Linked DNA regions of Nothobranchius furzeri. The protein of the gene in region 2 interacts with the protein of the main gene of each other region in a pairwise test. Links are inferred from orthologs where the notes say so. Each region holds a gene or a part of one and is shown on either strand. Other genes may lie near its edges. The genes, in order: frk and bnip2.

What was found.
Region 1: the proteins of bnip2 (region 2) and frk interact in binary tests that used the Homo sapiens proteins (3 or more experiments, as listed by UniProt). The two-hybrid records come from large-scale screens. The link is inferred for Nothobranchius furzeri from reciprocal best matches to the Homo sapiens genes BNIP2 and FRK.

What each region holds. Positions count from the first base shown.
Region 1 is NC_091743.1:89,682,627-89,686,448, reverse strand, and holds part of frk (tyrosine-protein kinase FRK), read right to left. Parts: intron 1,048-3,822; coding exon 926-1,047; intron 1-925. UniProt on the Homo sapiens protein: Non-receptor tyrosine-protein kinase that negatively regulates cell proliferation.
Region 2 is NC_091744.1:67,577,721-67,581,542, forward strand, and holds part of bnip2 (BCL2/adenovirus E1B 19 kDa protein-interacting protein 2), read right to left. Parts: intron 3,732-3,822; coding exon 3,555-3,731; intron 1,442-3,554; coding exon 1,259-1,441; intron 1,180-1,258; coding exon 1,077-1,179; intron 1,007-1,076; coding exon 875-1,006; intron 769-874; coding exon 682-768; intron 609-681; coding exon 510-608; intron 1-509.

The DNA.
Region 1 (3,822 bases), on a different chromosome or scaffold from region 2:
TGTGTGGGTGAGCGGTTTGCTGATGTCAACGTTGTGGAACGAGTAGCCCATGGTGGCGGTGGGGTACTGGTACGGGCAGACATATGTTATGGACCACATTTTATTGATGGCCTTTTGAATGCACAGAAGTACCATGACAAGATCCTGAGGTACACCGTTATGTCATCCATTCATCCACCTTCATCCACCGCCAGCACCTCATGTTGCAGCATGATAACAAACGGCCCCATTTTACAAGGATCTGTACACATTTCTGGAAGCTAAAAACATCCCAGTTCTTGCATGGCCAGCATACTCACCAGACATGTCACCCATTTGGGATGCTCTGGATCAGTGTATACGACAACGTGTTCCAGTTCCTGCCAATATTAAGCTACTTCTCATAGCTATTGAGGAGTGGACCAACATCCCATAGGACACAATCAACAACCGGATCAACTCTATGCGACGGAGATGTGTTGCTCTGCATGGGGCAAACGGTGGCCACATCAGTTATTGGTTTTCTGCCCCACCACCCCCCATAAAGCAAAACCGAGCACATTTCAGAGTGGCCTTTTGTTGTGGGCAGTCTAAGGCACACCTGTACATTATTCATGCTGTCTAATCAGCTCCTTGATATGCCAAACCTGTGAGGTGGGATGGATTATCTTGGTAAAGGAAAAGTGCTCACTAGCACGCATCTAGACAGATTTCAGAACAATAATTGTGTCATGGGTCGTTTGTGTATAGAGACAAATTTTCAGATGTTTGAGTTCAACTCATGAAAAATGGGAGCAAAACCAAAAATGTTGCATTCATATATTTGTTCAGTGTACTTCACGATGGCAGTGACTTCCCTGCCTTCTCTGACTGCATCAATGCTGGGGGTCACAGGAACCAGACTGGTGGACTCGATCTGTTAACAGTTGCCGCTTCCTTTGCTCACCTGAGAGAGAGAGCTCTCCTTTCCGACCTTCGGAGTTTCTGATGAGGAAAGCACCAGACTGGTTCCACTTAGCCAACAGCATCTTCTCTGCATCCAGCCTTTTGGTGTCCGAAAAATACCACCTGCATTTCAAAATTCATTCATTTAATGTAATGTGGTTTAAAGAAATACAAGGAGAAAAAAAATGCACCAGCAACCAGAATAAAACACCTTATGCAGCTTTATGCAGCAGTTTAACAGCCAACCATTTAGTCCCCAAGTGTTTAACACACAGCATCTTTTAATACGGAAGAAAATCCGATTAAAATCATTCAAGCCAAGTTTGCTCAAAAGCCTCACAAACCAGGCGACTATGGATTTTGAACTCCAGTTTGTTCCATGAGCGGGGGGATTTCAGAAAGCGAGATCAGAACATCAGGGATCTCCTGATAAATACCTGCTTGACAACGCGCTCTCCTTCTCTCCCAGTTGGGCCAGCTCCACGAAAGATTCTCAGGTTGATTCAATCCCCTCTTACCCCCAAATTCCACTACCTCCGCTCCGCTCCGACACGAACGCCGGAACAAAATCGGTCCCGTTGTAGTCAATCAGAGCAATTCCACTACTGCGGCCGTGCTCCGGCAGTGCGGCGCCGTGCGCTGCCCTCTGTTCCGGCGTCCGGCAAAAATAGAATCGATCCTATTTTCGCCGGACGCCGGAGCACCTCCGCAGTAAATGGACAGAAATAACAACTGCCCAACAGGAAAAGGAGCAAGCACAACTTCCGTTTTTCACAATAAATCGATAAACAAAAGGCGTTTTTTGTTTCATATGCACAGGTTTAACAACTTTTAACAACTATCAATGGCGGCTGAAGTTTAAATGCACAAAAGTAAGCCATAAATACAGTTTCCACTATCAAAGTAGTCACACTTTGTTGATCCAAACACTGCTGATCTCTCAACACACATGATGGGCAGATTCAACAGTTCATGCCGATGCTTCTCCCACACAACGGGTGTTTGGATCTAACTTCCGCGTTTATTGCTCGGACTGTATCGCAAGATCTCTAATATCCCGCGCATGCTTGTTTGCGCACCTCAGGTCTCCGCACCGGAGCGGAGCCGTTGTAGAGCGGAAGCGAGCGGCTGCAGAAGGCGGGGGCGGACCGCAGCGGAGGTAGTGGAATTTGGGGGTAATCCATGCAAGGTGGGGCAAGCTAGGACAATGTGTGTCCAAAGGCAGCCCCTGTTAATCAATGCTAGATAAATGAGAATAGAAGGACAGAGCCTCGATCTTCATTCAGACGGAGTAATAATTAATTGTTCATTCATGCCTATGAGGACTACAAAGATATCAGAACTAAATAATAAGAGCATGAGCCATTTGATTGAAGCTGTGAAGCCGGCGCTATTGAGTCAGAACGCGCAGCGTTTACATGTTTCCATGGGTATGCTTCAGCCCGTTTTTCCGCATATTTTATTCAAGTTCATCATTTGTGTCGTTTTCATGTTCGGTTCCAGAGTCTGGATGTTTGGACACTGAAGGACTTTGTTTTCGCTGAGCAGCAGTGAGTTTTAAGACTATACGTTTGTGGAGGTCATGTGACCCTAAAGTTAGCTCTGGAAACTGCATGTTAATTACATGGGTCCATCCCAGACAAAAGTTAATAATTATACATATTAAAAATGCTGAAATCAGGAGCATCAGTGGAATTAAATGCTCGTAGCTTCTAGGGGCTGCACGACTTAATTTTCATTAAAGTCGACTGTCAAGTAATCAAAATAGAGTTGACTTTGACTAGTGGTTGATGACGTCATACACCTGAAGCGCCGCGGGGGGGGGGGGGGGGGGGGGGGGTCGCTGGAGTTTGACAATTAAAATTGCGCCCACATTTTCAAAGTTAAACACATCTTTTAACAGCGGTAGTTTCTGCATCTATACTGCTCCACTTCAGCTCGCTCCCCCCTCCCCATGCGCAGTGCACCTGCAGCCTCTCGGAGTTCCTGCTGCTCTAAACATTAAAATAATTATTTCATTTTCTGTTCCTCACTTCTGATTACCTTCAATGGTGTCTGTTTGTTGCAACCAGCAGGTACAAAAACTAACTTGTTTTTATTTGACTATTTTTCTGTCCTGCCTGTTTATTATCTTCCTGCATCTCCTCTCAGTCCTAAAGAGAAACTGCTACCTGGGTTCATATATATTCACCTCATGAGTTACCTTTGAACTGCAGTTCTAAAAGATCTACCGACCGCAAAAACAGCGGAGTGCGCGCTGCTCGCCGACCGCATCAGTGAGGTGAAGTTATTGGAGGACAAAACAGGTGATGCGCCCCGCTACACAGCAGGGAAACGCATCAGGCACAAATAAAAGACAGAAAACATCAAAGGAAATGAGCCGACATGAACGATCGCGTGTTAAATTAGTTTTTGAGGTGGCGACACCTGATTTGATGTTACTGTGGCCGTGCTCAGGACGCAGACGTCTCGAGCGCGTCAACGTTCAGAGCTTTGCATGCGCAAGCTGGTTAAGGTTAGGATGGGGGTGAGGGGAAGGTTAAATTGCAAGAGGGTAAAGGTCACAATTTGGTTAAATGTCTGTTTTACGGCGGGCGTCAGTACCGACGCTCTGGCACAGCGCGTTGCCTCCTGATGCACAGCTCGTCACCTGCTGTCTTTTCCGAGGACTGCATCTTGTCGCTCATTATCACGTGACAGCGACTAGTCGCTGAAAGGCATAAAAAGTCACTACAGAGCAGTGAAGTCGACTAGTCGACTAGTTCATACAACCCCTACTAGCTGCAAATGAAGATCAAATACAACATTTTTAAGGTAATCCTTCTCACATATAAAGCTCTTAATAATCAAGCTCCATCATACATCAGTGACCTGATTGTTCCACAGTTCCTAACCGAG
Region 2 (3,822 bases):
TGAGAGGCTTTGCTAAAGCACACAAAAAAACCAAACATAAGGTTTCAGCTTTCCCATTTTGATCCGATTTTAATCCTCGGACACTTTGACAGCAATCTTCTCCTTCAGACAAGTGGTCGAAGCATCTCAGATACAAGCCAGGTCAGCAGAGGTCCCAATGACAGTCAGGATGGAGAACAGGGGAGAACTTTACTTGAATGTAAATGCTCTGCACTTTGGTTTGAAATTCTCTCAGAGGTGAATCATCCTCAACAATCAAGACAACAGATGAGTTCAGGTTGTTACTTTAAACATGATGTGAATTCTGCTCGTGTTTCATTTGAAAATGCAAACACAGCACAGCTTCCAAGAGTAAAATAAAGATGGAAGAGTGTAAAATACAAAAATGATTAACGTCTTTGCTTGAGTAGATTCCAATCTACTATAAATAATGTAACTAAATACCCGTTACAGCTGTGACTTTAGCTTGCAGACCTTCAGACACGTTAGCAGCGCTCCAACGTACTTACTGTTTGATACAATCTGGTATGGACACATACTCCATTGGAACGAGCTCAGCGAGGTCCGTCAGGCTAAACACAAACTGGATTTTCTGGCTAAACTTGGAGCTGTAAAAGAAAAGCAGAAAATGATTAAACAAATATAAATAATTGTGTTTACCACCCTGAACATTTCTGATACCTTATGAAAGGTTTTGTGAGAGCCAGCAGGGTCCGAATAAACCAAGAAGGGTGCACGATTATCAACGACTTCAAGTTCTTCCGTAACCTGTGTTTGAAAGAAAAATAATGAGTAAATAATGGCTCAAAGTCTCAGGTTTTCTACTTTAGTCGAAGCTTTACTTGATTAGAAGGATGAGACGATGTCGACTCACCTCCTATCGATCTGCTGATAACACTTTCGGAGCCAGCCGACCGTCGGCATCTTCTTACGAGAAGTCGCCCCGTTTAAATAAACAATCATATAATTCTCAGCCACCAGCAGCTCCAGAGTGCCAATGACGTATCTGAAACAGGAAACCGTCGTTAGCTTCACGCGTCATCGCTAAAGCACTAAAACGAGGCTAATGGGCTCACTTGAATAAATTGTCCATGATGTATCTGTAATTAGGTTGGTTGCTCTCAGGCATGAAGCACACGGCAAACACAATTATAGCATTCAAACCATCGCCATAGTAACCTGTAGAGAAAAACGCTAACATTATGACATGTTTAGAGTTTTTTTGTTTAGTGTGTGAACTACATGAAAAGGTGCTGACCCCCGTGACTGATTACTCTCTTGTAGGGCTCAATAGCCTTCATATCCACTCTGTGGTCCTGATCTCCAAAATGGAAAATCCTCCACCGTCGACCTTCTTCCCGCTCCTCTGATGCGGATAACTCCTGGACCGTCTCCACACCTTTCTGTAGCACTTCTGTGCTTTTGGGCTTGGGAAGATCATCTGAGGAAGAAAATACATTTTAAGCAAAAAGCTAAACACCCATAGCTCTTGTAATCCAGATCCGATCGTTTTTTAATCAAATATTCGCAGTTCAATCGGGCGCACTGAACAAATGATTGGTTTTGATCTTTTGCATCTCTGCAGCATGCTTTTCCCCAGATTAAAAACCAAAATTCACAATACGGCGTTCTTTCTTTGCGATTTTTAGAGAGAAAAGGCAAAAATCCTGTCGATTCACAATGAAAATCAAAGATGTTCTTTCACAACAAACCGCTTTTGTTTGTAAACGTAGAGCTGCATAGTTTCATAAAACTGATGTCATAACATCAACTGGGGTTGTATGAACTAGTCGACTAGTCGACTTCACGGCTCTGTAGTGACTTTTTATGCCTGTCATCGACTAGTCGCTGTCACATGATAATGACCGACAAGATGCAGTCCTTGGAAAAGACAGCAGGTGACGAGCCCATGCGCGTCGGGAGGCGACGCACTGGTATCAGACACCCGCCGTAAAACGGACATTTAACTAAATTGTGACCTTTACCATCTTACAATTTAACCTTCCCCTCACCACCATCCTAATCTTAACCAGCTTGTGCATGCAAAGCTCTGATCGTTGACGCGCTCCAGACATCTGCGTCCTGAGCACAGCCACAGTAACATCAGGTGTCGCCACCTGAAAAACAAATTTAACACGCAATCGTTTATGTCGGCTCATTTCCTTTTATGTTTTCTGTCTTTTATTTGTGCCTGATGCGAACCAACCGAACCCCAACCCCCCACCCCTTGCGCCGCTTCAGGTGTATGACGTCATCAACGACTAGTCAAATTAGACTCGATTTTCATTACTTGACTGTCGACTTTAAAAAAAATTAAGTCATGCAGCCCCAACATCAACAAAGTACTTAAGTGATCAGGTACTTCAAGCATGCAACGAGAGGAATCAAAACCAAAATTGTGAAAGCAAATCACACAACATGTTCTTTAAGCTAAGATTTCCTTTTCATTTTGAAAATACGCACTCATTTTATTACTAAAGTAAAAATGCCAAGACCACACAACAGATGGTTAAAGTAAAAACATCATTTTCCAAGCAATGCTGCGCTGTTTTTTATGCCACAGCAACAGCAAAAAAGTAGATTCCAGTTTTTTTTCCTTTCATTTCATGTTTGCAATATTAAATTAATTTTAATTTTTCACAAACATCAAAACAGCTGATTTATTAAACTGGTGACAAGGTGATACCATTTCCCCATGAACAGAAAAACTCCAAACAAATAATAATTAAAAATAATAATAATAATAACATATATATATATATATATGAAAGCAAAGTTGAATTAAGAGGAAGTAAGGAATGATGGGAAAAAAGGCATTTGTCTGAAAACATGATCGGACGACAGACGCTGATTGACTTGTGTTTTCCAAAAGATCAAACAAGAAGAAAGTCTGTCCAAGAGTCCTTACCCCACGGGGGAGAGAAACCTGCTGCTGGCTTGCAGCCTGTTTCCAGGCAGACAAAGGAAGCGGTTCTTCCAAGTGAAAAAGAAGAAGGCGGCAGAGTGGAAACACAAACACAACAAAGCATATTTAACCATACATGAGGCAGCAAACTGCCAAAGTAAACCTGTAAATCATCTAGAGGTGCAAGAACCAAGTTCAACAAATAAAAATGTGAAGCAGGGCGCTTCCTCAGGACCACAAAAGAGCCCCAACTTTTAAATCTAAATTCAAACTTTCATGTATTCATCAGCCTATGAATGACTGTTTATTATGCTGCACCGTAACTGCTCACCCTTTAACTTTTATCGGATTCTTAAATCTGAATTAAATTTGTGCATCTGATATTTTAATTATGCTGTTGTGTTGATTTAGCTGTTCATGCTCCTGGAAAGTGCCTCAATGTATGAAATGTGCTATATGGATAAAGATACCTGGCCTTCTCTTCTAACTGGACTCAGAGTGGGGAACCTTCAAGTATTTAGCTCACCTAAGGAGTGATGTCTTTACATATTTTGCTTTAACAGCAGAAACTAAAACAAAGCTAGATAAAACCACAGTTCCAGGGCCAAAGCAGATGTGGTATTTGTGTTTTCCGTGATATACTTCTTACCTTCCCATTCAAACTCATTGCTGTTGTCTGACGGCGTGTCGATGGCATCCAGATCCAACTCTGTGCTTTCCTCCAGCTCATCAGAGAGGATGGAGCCATCGCTGCGGTCAAGAGTCAGGCTGATGTCTGGAGCACTGAGTTTTTTCTTTGCCTTCTTGCTGTGGTTTGTTGCAAAGCCTAAAACAGACAAAAATATGCTTAGTGGTGGTTGATTTAGTTCCCAAAAGCAGATAAATGGTGTTTTTTTTTTCTGATTTGATACTCACGG